Saccharomyces cerevisiae S288C: one gene and its partners. Changing the gene in region 3 together with the main gene of any one other region gives a genetic interaction. Each region holds a gene or a part of one and is shown on either strand. Other genes may lie near its edges.

Region 1 (3,372 bases), on a different chromosome or scaffold from region 3:
TTCATTGGTAACATCATTGGGTGGTGGTTCCAAGTCATATCATTGGCTGTTTTTGTTGGCATTATCGTGGCCGATTTAATTACTAGACATCGTGGCTATTATGCCCTAAACAAGATGACCAGAGAAAAGCTGTATGGCCCATTGATGTTTTTCTTCGTCTCCTGGTGCTGTCATTATTTTCCATTCTTTTTAATGGCGCGTCAAAAGTTTTTGCATCATTACTTACCAGCTCATTTAATCGCGTGCTTATTCTCAGGAGCACTATGGGAAGTAATTTTCAGTGATTGCAAATCATTGGATTTGGAGAAAGACGAGGATATTTCAGGTGCATCATATGAACGGAACCCTAAGGTCTACGTTAAACCCTATACCGTCTTCTTGGTGTGTGTCTCCTGTGCTGTTGCGTGGTTTTTTGTATACTTTTCACCACTAGTGTATGGAGATGTCAGCTTGTCACCATCGGAAGTTGTTTCTAGAGAGTGGTTTGACATAGAATTAAATTTCTCCAAGTAACTTTTTCTGTTCACTAACCACAAACGAACTGAACGCCTTCCTCCGTTTAGTGACAAAATAGAGTACTTTTGATCTTAGATAGTATGTACCTAGATGTGTATATATGAAAAAAATTCTTTATATTTGTTTAGATATCAACCGGTAACCTCTTGAATGTTAATTCAAGGTGGGGAATGGTAACCTTCTGTGCATTCTAGTTACTAGTTCAAGATAATTGGGCTCATTTTCTGGAGTGATGTAGCCATGTCTAATCAAGAAATCTACCATTACCAATGCACAATTTGGTTTGAACTCTTTTTTTCTTAAAGCATTAATCGTCTCTTGCAGGCTGAATAAATTGAAACTCTCGACTTCACCATCGTTTGGTTTTGGAATGATGTCTTCGCTGAGTTTTAGATCGTATACATATTGTACTTCCCCTACGATAAAATCTGATTCCTTATTGAACTTCGTTACAGAAATATCACCCGTAAAGTAAAGGTAGGAAACTGAACCAGTTGCTTTAATGTTATCCTCAATAACACTCTTTTCTAGATTGGCTTCCTCCATGCTTTCTTTCAAAACTGTTTCATAGATACCATAAGGATAACCTAATCCCCCGGCGATAATGTTGTCAAGCATTAGCGGCCATGTTTGTTTCGTTTTAGATCTTCTTGGAACCCAAAACTGAACTTTTTTTGACTTTGGATCTAGCACATAACCATTAATATGAATCCCGTAGGTAATTATACCAAGAACACCTGCTACTGCACGCTCAACCAGTACATAGGGTTTTTTATTAACCCAAACGGCATATTTCTCGTTTCTCCAGCCCTTCACACCACTCAAGGATGATTCTAAATACATTTTACGAGCCAATTGGTCAATTAGATTGTTTCTATGATCAAAATCTTCACTTTTAAACCTTAACTCATGTCTAGATTCATCTAATTGGAAGGTTTCTTCGAAGATTTCCGAGCAAACAGTCTCCATTTCATTTATCGCAAATTTCAACACGAAACCGATCTTTGTGCCATCGTGTGTACACATATAGTAAATGCCCTCTTTGAAATTTTTGTAATTCTCGAAGTCTAATGGTAAAGGGTCTACGCGGTCCATAATCTCCAGGAAAGAGAACCCCTCTAGATCATCCTCCTGTGTCCTCACTAAAACTTCCAAGCCTTTAGATGATTTCTCGACCTTCATTGTATTAAAAGCGTTTGTTTCACTTTCGTTCCCAAGAAAGCCCCTATATTTAGTAATATAACAAACGCTATTGTTGTGCAATTCTTCGGCCAACGAAGTTAATTCTACAACTGTATGTTAAAAAAAAAAAGAAGCTATTTATTACTTGATGACAATATTTGTACAAATTTGAAAGAGAATGGTTCTTAAAATTAGATTAGTGATGTATAGCTAATGGTCCATTCACCAATTTTTTTCATGCTTGAGGGTAAAAGTGCATTAGTATGTTGAAGGGCGCTGTAAAAAGCATTAAACGATGTTTCTTGGAAATCTAATTCCTCGACGACTTGTCGATTGAGACATCGATTTATTGTGGTAACGCTGTTTGTGTAAAGCAACTTCATCGCTCTCTTGAAGCTTTTGTTTCCCGTCAATGTGACTCCAATGTCAACGGAAAATATCCAAACTAGCAATGATTCCGTTTTACATTTTACTAGTACGTAACGACAAGAGTTTGCCTTAACTACGTTTATTAAAGAAATTGTAATGTCACATTCTGGAGGAAATTTGTATGTGTTTCCACTGCGTATTAACTGCAGTTTCCATTTGTGTAGTTTATAAAGCGAACCAGCAGTTACTTGGCCTAACACTGCTGAGCACTTTATGCATAAAACATTATCATTTTCCTTTGTAGTCGCTACATTTTCAAAAGTCGCAGGAGTGCCTTGAAAATAAGAGCTTCCAATTAAAATTTCGTTTTTAGATGGTTTTAGCGTTTCAAATCTTGTGTAGGAAGACTTGTCTTCCTTAACATCGGGTTTGTGGCAATGCCAATAATCCATTAACTCGAACCAAAACTCTGAAGGCATATCATTCAAAACTTGACAGTTATCTTTGCTTATAATTTTTTGCTTACAGTTAAGACATTCTATCGAGAAATCAGAATCTGAGCGAAGCTCTTCTTTAGTCCATCTTCCATCTGGAAGCGACATGATAGAACTGTCATATATCTTAGAGGATTTGCTTCTTAACTTCGTCATCCATTCTAAGTCTTTACCTCTGTTTTTGAACTTGTAAGAAGCGTCTACTTTTTCTTCAACTTCTACTGGAAGTAAAATATCTTCAACTTGTTCTTCATCACCAGATATGCTCATGAGTGTGTCCTTCAAGTTCTTTATCTCCACCTGCTTCCAACCTTCTACTACCACTGAAATGCTCTGTATCCTTGGTAACCATTCTACCACATATTGAACCATCACCCTTGCATTTGTTTCTCTCTTTGTTTTCTTGACTTTCCTTTTCTTTACTTCGATTTAACAGCTTGTTACTATGTGCCATCGCGAAATTATTTATTGAATTGTTTACGTTGGGAAGAGCAGAAATACAAATAGACGGTAGCAAGGCAGGTCCGTAAAGGCACTTTAAGGAGTTAGAACCTCAACACAGATTCTAGATAAAGCTTATTATGTCTATGTTCAATGCCCTCAATTCAAACATCGAAGGTGAACAATATGAAGCAGAGGAGCATTCAAGAGAGCTTCAAATAGAACAGAGTTTTAATATTTTGCAGGACGCTCTGATTGATCTAAAAAACAAGGACTTCGAAAAGTCGGACAGCAAATTCCAAGAGCTCTTCCAGATTGATGTCGTCAAGCCTGATAGGTGGGGCATGTATCGCAATTCTTCTCCTACGCT
Region 2 (7,045 bases), on a different chromosome or scaffold from region 3:
TGGGGTGTTAACGTTATTGTTTTTGAAGCCTTTGATGAAGATTGGAAGCCAAACACCTCTGGTACCTCTGATGTCGAGAAGCACTGGGGTGTTTTCACTTCAAGTGACAATTTGAAATACTCCTTGGACTGTGACTTTTCATGAACGCTTTAAAAATACTCTTTAAACAAGAATGGCTTTTTCCTTCTGTTTAGGTGAGGAATAAGCAAAAAGTAACAAAAAAAAATGTTATCCCTTCTTTTCTTCCTTATTTAGGCTTTATTTTATCTTTCACTTCTTTTACGTATTTGAAATATCCTTCGGTTTTAGGATTTTCACTTCTAAGTTTTCTATTTTATGCCTTCCATTTTAAATTCGTATTTTGTGTATACTTTATTCAGTAAACAGACATCCCAATAAGTTCTTTGAATATCTTCTGAAAATGATGTATAAATATATATTTCTAGAATGAAAAAGGACCGAAGGCGTTGTCCAGTTTGCCTCATAAAAAATGAAATGTTCTTTTCGGAATTTTGAGTATACAATGTGGGTATGCAATTATATCTATCTATGGCACACATAACTTTTTCTGCAAGTCATAGTAGTGGGTTTTCTTTTCTAGTACTAATTTGTACCATCGGCAACATATAAATAAATAAAAGAGAAAAATCATGCAACAAATAATATAAATTAACTTCTGTTCTCGAAATCATTTTCCACAATACCAGATCTAGAACACATGCTTCTGAAAATACTATCTTCTTGACTAAACAACGTCCATGGTGTATCGAATTCTGCGACTTCACCCTTCTCTAAAACAAGAATACGATCATAATTTACAATGGTCTTCAGTCTGTGAGCAATACACAAAATTGTACAATCTCCAAATTCCTCAACAATACGTGTTTGGATTTTGCCATCCGTTTCGTAGTCCACTGAGGATGTAGCCTCATCCAAAATCAATATTTTTGATTGGCGGACCAATGCCCTTGTTAATGCTAATAGTTGTCTCTCACCTAAGGAGAAATTGGAGCCCTCTTCTTCCACTGCTTGATCTAAATGGAACTTATGCATTTTACCATGAGTACCATTTTCATCAGGTTTTTGCAATTTCACTTCCGGCAAGTCATCCTTGGCGATAGCACCACCTCTCACCAATGCATCCCATAATTCGTCATCTGTACGCTCATTAAATGGATCTAAGTTCTTGCGAATCGTACCCCTAAATAATACTGGATCTTGTGGAATGATGGCTAATTTTCTTCTTAAATCGAAAAGTCCCAGCTGACTTATATCAACATTGTCAATTAAAATTTTACCTGCGGTCAATTCATTCAACCTGTAAAGGGCACTCATAATAGTGGACTTACCAGCACCTGTACGACCACAGATACCAATTTTTTCCCCACTCTTGATATTCAAGTTAAGATTTTTTAAAACTATAGGTAAACCAGGTCTATAGGCAAAATCAACATTTTCAAAAATTATTTCGCCCATTGAGGGCCATGACTCTGGAGGTGTCATTTCGGGCTTTCTATAGGATGCCTCTAGTGGTAGTTCAGTTGCATATGTTACCAATCTTTCGGCACTATTCATGTCATTCTCTGTTTGAGTCATTGCCCTTAAAATGGTATTTAATAGACCAGGCAATTGTAATACATAAGTCAACAAAACACCAACTGAAGCCGCGGAAATAGGAAAGGCTCTCGTAACACACAATAACGTAATAATTAGTGCAAATGCGATAGCAACCATATCAAGGAAAATACCTACCCATCTTTGCAGGACAACTACAAGGTATCCCGCCTCATTCATCTTGTTGATCAAAAAATCTGATTTCGCCAAAAATCGTTCCTGACTTCGGTATGCTTTGATTGTATCCATCCCACCCAAAACTTCATTTAAATTATTGTAAACAAAAGACCGTTGCACAGCTTCAAGTCTTTTAATTTCTCTACCAGAACTCTGATAATGATCAGCAATCAGAACAAAGATGACCAAAAGAAACGGAATTGCGATAGCAAACCACGGCAAGTAAACAATACACATGACGCAAACACCTACAATATTAGCAAATTGAGATGTCATCAACCGTAAACTTTCGGTTAACTCATTATCTAAGCTATCTGTATCTTTTGTGAATCTGTTCAGAATACGTCCCAAAGGTGTGGTATCTATGTATGACATTGGAGTGTGTAAAATTCTTTTCACAGCCCTCAAATTTAACCATTTCGATGCCATAATACCCATTGCGCAAAGTATGGTGAACTGGCCATTCATGAATATGAAAGCAGCAAACACAAAGAAGGAGTAAAGACCCATATAAAAACTGGGTGGTCTGTTTTTGAATTTATTCTCAGTCCAGTAAGATAACCAAACGGAAGAAAAAAGTGAGCAGAATGTGGTTCCAACGACTAAAATTGCATACAACGGTAGTGCGATAAAACCCCACTTACCTACTGCAGCTTTAATGTATTCACGGTATATTTTCAGACTGATACTATTGACTGCTCTTTCTTCTTTACTACTAGTATGACCATCCGCTACAATTTTACCACTATTTGCAGTTTGTGACATTTCTGTAGCCTTTTTCTTCAGTTCAGTCAATTCCTTTACCTCTGATTCATATTTTAGTTGTCCCAATTCACCGGCAACAACCGCTTCCTGTTCTTCATCCTCTTTCTCCGAATTTTGAGAAGAGAATTGTAAAAGATTTATCAAAGTTTGATTACGAGCTTTTAGCTCATCAACAGTACCAATATCGACTTGGCCATCAGTACCTAAAACGATGACTCTAGAAGCTCTCTCAATCAGTGACAATTGATGCGTTGCTAAAATTCTGGTTTTATTAGCAAGCATTCCGGTTAGACATTCATCCATGATGTGTTTACCAACACGAGAATCGACAGCACTTAGGACATCGTCGAATAGATAAATATCCTTCTTCTTATAAACAGACCTGGCTAAATTGATACGTGCCTTTTGACCACCAGATAAAGTAATACCACGTTCCCCAATTTCGGTCATATCGCCTGCCGGTAAAATATCCAGATCAGCTTTCAAAGAGCAAACACGAACTACTTCATCATACTTTTCTTTATTGAATGGTGAACCGAATATGATGTTATCTCTTACAGATGCATTTTGAATCCATGGATAACCACACATTAATAAGTCCCCGTTGACTTCAACCTTACCATCAGTTTTTCTCATTGATCCTGCCATCGCATTCAATAATGAAGATTTACCAGTACCAATAGGTCCCGTAATCATAATAAATTCGCCCTTTTTAATATCGAAGTTCAAGTCCTTGAAACCCCTAAACGAAGTTTTTTCTAAATCTTCCGGGCCGTCTCTGTCTTTCAACATATTGTCCAATCTTTTCGCCTTATTAGTACTTGCAGATGGCTTACCCCATGTATCCTTACGCTTTTTTTTGTTCTTTTTACCTTCATCTTTAGCTTCTCCTTTTGCTTCTTCAATAGCGTCGTTTAATTCATAATCTTCCCACTCAAATGAGCAATGTGTCATTTTTAAAGCCAATTTTGGATCAAAGCCAGGAGAAGGCTTCATTTCAATCATCTGATTTGGATCATCTTCTGGAGCCTCCAATAAGCTTTGCAAACGGCCCAATCCAATGATCATGTCAATTCCAGTACCAATAGCAATAGGTAAGAAAAACATTTGCAAACTCAAGACCTGAAATAAAGATAAAGAGGCAAAAATATTACCAGGTTGCCTGCCTCCTTTATTAACTTTGTACATTGCAAGGAAAGTGACCAATGAAGCAATACTAGGCAAAGACATGGCCATAGCAATCAAGAAATTTCTTGATAGTTGCATTTTTCTAACTTTAGAAATCTCTTTGGTCCTAATATCTTGAATATTTTTTTCATACGCATCCTCCCACGTATAATATTTAATCATTTTTATATTATTCAGCACTTCTCTCATCATGGTAACTCTAGCATCAGTGAAGATGTTCGCAGCAATTCTAAAGCCCAGAATTAACTTAAATGCAAATAAGGATATGAAAAACCCACCGAAAAAAATACCAATCCCAACTAAGGCAATGGGTCCAAGGTTAACGATCAATAAAACAATGCAAATAGCCAAAATTGCAGGGAACCCAGCCAAAAACGGCTGAAAAGATAAGGCAAATTCAATTCTAGCGAGATCTGTTGTTACAAAAGAAGTCACTTTACCGTTAGGAAAACAATGTCTCGCATAATTAGATGCATTAAACATTTTCTTCATGGCAGCTTTAGTAAGAATAGACTTAGCTTGCACACCAGTCAGTTGGGATGTATGAAAGAAATGGTTGAACGTCAACCCGTTAACGAACATCATCAAACATGCACCAATAGCGTAACCAATACCTTTGTTAACATGCATGCTATGAAAAATAGCCTTTTCTTCGACAAACTCAATTAGCCTCTTGGTAATCATGGGGTTAAAACCGGATGTACAATTAGCGAGAATTGCAAACACTATCGACATGAAGTACTGTTTCTTAAAAGTGAATAATAAAGCTCTCAGAACTGTATGTTTAGGTAGTTTGGCATTTTCCATAACCTCTTCTTCTGTCGCTTCTGGATGTCTTTTACGGTATTTTTTCCTCGTCTTCTCAAAATAGTAAATCATGTTTTTTTCAAAGTCGTCATAAAGGGTCTCTATAGACATCCTCGGATCCATTTTGAAGAGATCGTTCGGCTGTATCGTTCTCTTATAACCAACTCGCAGGATGGGTAGAACCCACCAAAAAAACATGTTAGAGATAATATTTGTATGGAACAGAGGATATATCTTCCTCTCGTCATCGGTTTGTGGTACTTCTGGAATTTTCTTAGAGTGCAAGAATGAAAACAGACGTTTCTGAGGGAAAATATCAGATTCTGTCACTTTTTCGATATCATCGCTATTCAAGTAGGTTTGGGGCTTATTTCTGTCCACAATATATTCACCTGTAGGCAGCAAAGATTTGTCATCCCAAGAAGACGATGTGTCCTTATCAACATCTGTGCTTATGTCTGAAGAAGCAGATGCCTTGGGAGATAGTACCACGTTTTGACTTTTGTTTTCCAGCTCCGTCTCCGAAACTGCATCCCCCACGGTAATCGTCATATTCGTATATAGCAACGGCTTTACTCTTTTTGAATATAAAAACAGTAATATTAATCTTTTTCCTCGTTCGTGACACTACTCAGAGGGCACCTGTAAGGAGAAAAAGGTATGGAAATGCGTTCTTCCTGTTCTTGTATAGCGCAAAAAAAGATATACACGCGGAGAGCTGTTCTACCTCCGTATTTATACTAACTGGAACAAAAAATATTTCAGTGACACCTTCGCTAGCTACCTCTGACAGATGTGTAATAAATATATATATGTATGGTAATCATTTAAGGGACAGCAGATCTATTTGTAGGAAAAATATTGCCACTTTCTTACCTTGGCTTTTTTCATTTCCACGGGTGTTAAATCATGTCCGTCATATTCCCGGCAAAATTTCCGGCTATTTCCACGGAACCACGCGTTATCTTCATACAATAGCACATGCCAAAAATTACAACAAAAGCACAGAAGCAAAAGAAAAAAAATGTGCCATTTCCGCCTCGCGGTGGGGAGGAAAATAGAAGCGCTTATCGCAAGCATTTAGTAGAGAACCGTGGATAAAAACGCAGCAACTAAAGAAGGCGACTAATAAAAATTGAGTATGCCTCTCCTTAGCGTAAACAGTAACTGCGTGCTATAAGGTGGCACTAAACTTCCTTCTTCCCCTTTCTATCGGATTTGTGCAGCCAGGAGGGATACCAGTGACGGCTATAGCGGGAGAAAGACGGGCCCTCTCACAACCCTTTGCCCCTTGCGGTTAGTCATATAGATTTTGCTTGTGAAGAGAACTGGTCGGTTCAAAGATGCTTTCTTCAAAGTACTATAGCCTTGCCCACTCTCTTTCTCCCTTCTGATCTCTTGTATGCTGATTTTACTTTAATAAGTGAAGGTGATCAATCAGTCAACTAACAAATTAGCCGCCACTGCAAGGATATTTTCTCTGTCGTTGTTGTTTTCCTACAAATATAAACAACCGGGTAACAGTCAAAGAAAAAAAAAAAAAGAAAAGGAAAAAAAAAAAATATGAAAAATTTTGTTCTGAAAGAAGCGATGAGATGAGTACTCAATAGTAACATATAGGCAGCTTACACCATTAAACAAAGAAGCAGAATGGGTTTGGCAGCTACAAGAACCAAACAGCGGTTTGGTTTAGACCCCAGAAATACGGCATGGAGTAACGACACCTCGAGATTCGGGCACCAATTTCTAGAAAAGTTTGGATGGAAACCCGGTATGGGTCTGGGGTTATCCCCCATGAATTCGAACACTTCGCATATCAAAGTGTCAATTAAGGACGACAACGTTGGGCTCGGTGCTAAATTAAAACGTAAAGACAAAAAAGACGAGTTTGATAATGGTGAATGCGCAGGGTTGGATGTCTTCCAGCGAATTCTTGGTAGGCTGAACGGAAAGGAAAGCAAAATATCAGAGGAATTGGACACGCAGAGAAAGCAGAAGATTATTGACGGAAAATGGGGTATCCATTTTGTGAAGGGTGAAGTTTTAGCAAGCACGTGGGATCCAAAGACTCACAAGTTAAGAAATTACTCCAACGCGAAGAAACGAAAGAGGGAAGGAGACGATAGCGAAGATGAAGATGATGACGACAAAGAGGATAAAGACAGTGATAAAAAGAAGCACAAGAAGCACAAAAAGCATAAGAAAGACAAGAAAAAAGACAAGAAGGACAAAAAGGAGCATAAGAAACATAAAAAGGAAGAGAAGAGATTGAAGAAGGAAAAAAGGGCGGAAAAGACCAAAGAAACGAAAAAGACGTCAAAATTAAAATCTAGTGAATCTGCATCCAATATCCCCGATGCGGTAAACACAAGACTATCGGTGCGCTCCAAATGGATAAAACAAAAGAGGGCCGCGTTGATGGACTCCAAGGCACTGAATGAGATCTTTATGATAACAAACGACTAAACATTCCATTGCGTTTCATTGTGTGAGC
Region 3 (2,973 bases):
TGATTTTTATACCTAGTGACAATTAAAATATAGAAAAGAGTTGGTAACCTCAGCTGCCGTACTCTTCAATTTAATTGGAGAAGTTGTCGAGTTTTTTTAAAGTACATTTCATTGGAACAACTAGTGACTAGTTCGAACGCGGAAAGACAATAATAGTACCCATAACGATAACTCCTTCGTTATCTATTGAATAGCTTGCCTTTCAAGTAAATCAATAATCAAGTCTGCGTATATCATTTATCGAGCACTTCTGAAAAAGATACCAGTTACACTGAAATACAACGATCGGATTACATAATGAATAATAACAGCAGAAACAACGAAAATCGAAGCACTATTAACAGAAATAAAAGGCAACTACAACAAGCAAAAGAAAAAAATGAAAATATTCATATCCCCAGGTATATTAGAAATCAACCATGGTACTATAAGGATACCCCCAAAGAACAAGAAGGGAAGAAGCCCGGCAATGATGATACGAGCACTGCAGAAGGAGGAGAAAAAAGCGACTACTTGGTGCATCATAGGCAAAAAGCAAAAGGGGGTGCTTTAGATATTGACAATAATTCAGAACCAAAAATTGGTATGGGTATAAAGGATGAGTTCAAACTAATCAGACCCCAGAAGATGTCCGTCCGAGATTCTCATTCGCTGTCATTTTGTAGGAATTGTGGGGAAGCAGGGCATAAGGAGAAAGACTGCATGGAAAAACCTCGTAAGATGCAGAAGCTTGTTCCCGATTTAAATTCACAAAAAAATAATGGCACAGTTTTAGTACGAGCTACTGATGATGACTGGGACTCCAGAAAAGATAGATGGTACGGTTACTCAGGGAAAGAATACAATGAACTGATAAGTAAGTGGGAGCGTGATAAAAGAAATAAAATAAAAGGAAAAGACAAATCCCAAACTGATGAAACACTATGGGATACAGATGAAGAGATAGAACTAATGAAGTTAGAACTTTACAAGGATTCCGTAGGTTCATTGAAGAAAGATGATGCTGATAATTCTCAGTTGTATAGGACATCAACGAGATTGAGAGAAGATAAGGCTGCTTACTTGAACGACATAAATTCAACGGAGAGTAATTATGATCCTAAATCAAGATTGTACAAAACTGAAACACTGGGCGCAGTTGATGAAAAATCAAAAATGTTCCGCAGACATTTGACAGGTGAAGGCCTAAAATTAAACGAATTGAACCAGTTTGCTAGATCTCACGCTAAGGAAATGGGTATACGTGATGAAATTGAGGATAAGGAAAAAGTACAACATGTTTTAGTCGCCAATCCTACTAAATATGAATATCTGAAGAAAAAACGGGAACAAGAAGAAACCAAGCAGCCCAAGATTGTCAGCATTGGAGATCTGGAAGCTAGGAAAGTAGATGGTACAAAGCAATCTGAGGAACAACGGAACCACTTAAAAGATTTATATGGTTAAGTTATATCATTTGAATTTCCAATATCCTAGTCACGGAGCACGAGAGGTAAAGAATTTAGAAAAAAAAATGCGATGAGCTGAAAAAAATTGTCAAATATAAACTACATTCTTAAGTATACGTATATATCTTGCGCATTCACGGCATAATACACTAAATAGACACTTAAAAAATCGAGTGAGAACATTCACAATGGAGACCTCCAACTTTGTTAAACAATTATCGTCGAACAACAGAAAAACCAGGGTAAATGCACTCGAAGCGTTAAAGAAATATCTAACCGCTAAACAGTTCAAGGAGAACAAACAAATAGAATTCAATAAACTTTGGAAGGGTCTTTACTATGCAATGTGGTTCAGTGACCGTCCTAGACCTCAGCAACGTTTAGCCAATGAATTAGGTGAATTGCATGGATTATATTTTGATCCTAAGGACAATAGCACTGCAGATGAGTTGACCACAAACGATAAAGCATTTATAAAGTTTAGCAGAGGGTTTTGGAAGGTCATGTGCTTTGAATGGTTTAACATTGACAGATATAGGTTGGATAAGTATCTTCTATTGATAAGAAGGGTATTATTCAGTCAATTGAAGTATTTGCAGTCCAGAAACTGGGACAAAAAATTAGTCGACGAGTATATTAAGAAAGTGTTGAGGTGGTTACCTCTGAGTGGAAGTCCAAAGGTCTACACAGGGATTCCAATTCATATCGTCGATATTCTGCTGGACGAATGGGAAAGATTGCTTAAAGATGGAGATGAAGACGATGAAGACGAGGAAAACAAAGAGGAAGAGATGCGCAAAATTGCAGAGAGCGCAAAAAAAACGCCACTAGCCGATGTTATCGCAATTTTCCAAGATATCGTGGCAGATTACAATAACAGTAAGGTGTTGAGAGAGAAGATCAAAGAAGACCTATTCAGTGACACCAGACTTGTTTCCTGGGATATTCTTGAAGGCGAAACGCAACATAATGATTCCAGTAACGAATCTGAAGAAGAGGAAGAGGAAGAGTGGAAGGGATTTTGATTCTTCCTGGCGGTAGTATGTAAGTAATCGTAAGTCGCTCATATAAATTGTAGTTGTATATCTATAGTACGAAAAATTCATTACCCTCTGTGGATATTGGCGGAATGCGAAACACGTCGCCTTTTTTTCCTCGCAACATTTTTTTTATTTTTTTTTCGTTTTGAAATGAAAGAATACTAGTGATTAAATTAAACAAGGAAAATAGTACAGATTGGCGTGTATTGTCCATAACTCGTGTCCATTGTCCGCACTACGCTAGTTTACCAAAGATAAAATCACGTATAACATTGAAAAATAAAATGGCTAGAGCTAGTGAAAAAGGTGAAGAGAAAAAGCAGAGCAACAACCAGGTTGAAAAGCTGGTTGAAGCACCTGTAGAATTTGTCAGAGAAGGTACTCAATTCTTGGCCAAGTGTAAGAAACCTGATTTGAAGGAATACACCAAGATTGTCAAGGCTGTTGGTATTGGTTTTATTGCAGTCGGTATCATTGGTTACGCC

The links. A genetic interaction does not mean that the proteins touch.
Region 1: mutations in RRP1 (region 3) and YJR142W together harm fitness more than expected from each alone (negative genetic interaction), as found in Saccharomyces cerevisiae (2 studies listed by BioGRID).
Region 2: mutations in RRP1 (region 3) and YOR1 together harm fitness more than expected from each alone (negative genetic interaction), as found in Saccharomyces cerevisiae (2 studies listed by BioGRID).

The regions. Positions count from the first base shown.
Region 1 is NC_001142.9:695,467-698,838, reverse strand, and holds YJR142W (uncharacterized protein), read right to left. Parts: upstream 1,699-3,372; coding exon 670-1,698; downstream 1-669. Other genes in the region: PMT4 (dolichyl-phosphate-mannose-protein mannosyltransferase), read left to right, coding at 1-513; IPA1 (putative polyadenylation protein), read right to left, coding at 1,890-2,933; HIR3 (Hir3p), read left to right, coding at 3,143-3,372.
Region 2 is NC_001139.9:1,050,882-1,057,926, reverse strand, and holds YOR1 (ATP-binding cassette transporter YOR1), read right to left. Parts: upstream 5,104-7,045; coding exon 670-5,103; downstream 1-669. Other genes in the region: BGL2 (glucan 1,3-beta-glucosidase), read left to right, coding at 1-144; PXR1 (telomerase inhibitor), read left to right, coding at 6,202-7,017. UniProt on the Saccharomyces cerevisiae protein: Functions as a pleiotropic drug pump at the plasma membrane to clear toxic substances from the cytosol. Organic anion transporter involved in the detoxification of a wide range of toxic environmental organic anions that contain carboxyl groups.
Region 3 is NC_001136.10:616,970-619,942, reverse strand, and holds RRP1 (Rrp1p), read left to right. Parts: upstream 1-1,636; coding exon 1,637-2,473; downstream 2,474-2,973. Other genes in the region: mRNA splicing protein SLU7, read left to right, coding at 298-1,446; translocon subunit SSS1, read left to right, coding at 2,773-2,973. UniProt on the Saccharomyces cerevisiae protein: Required for 27S rRNA processing to 25S and 5.8S.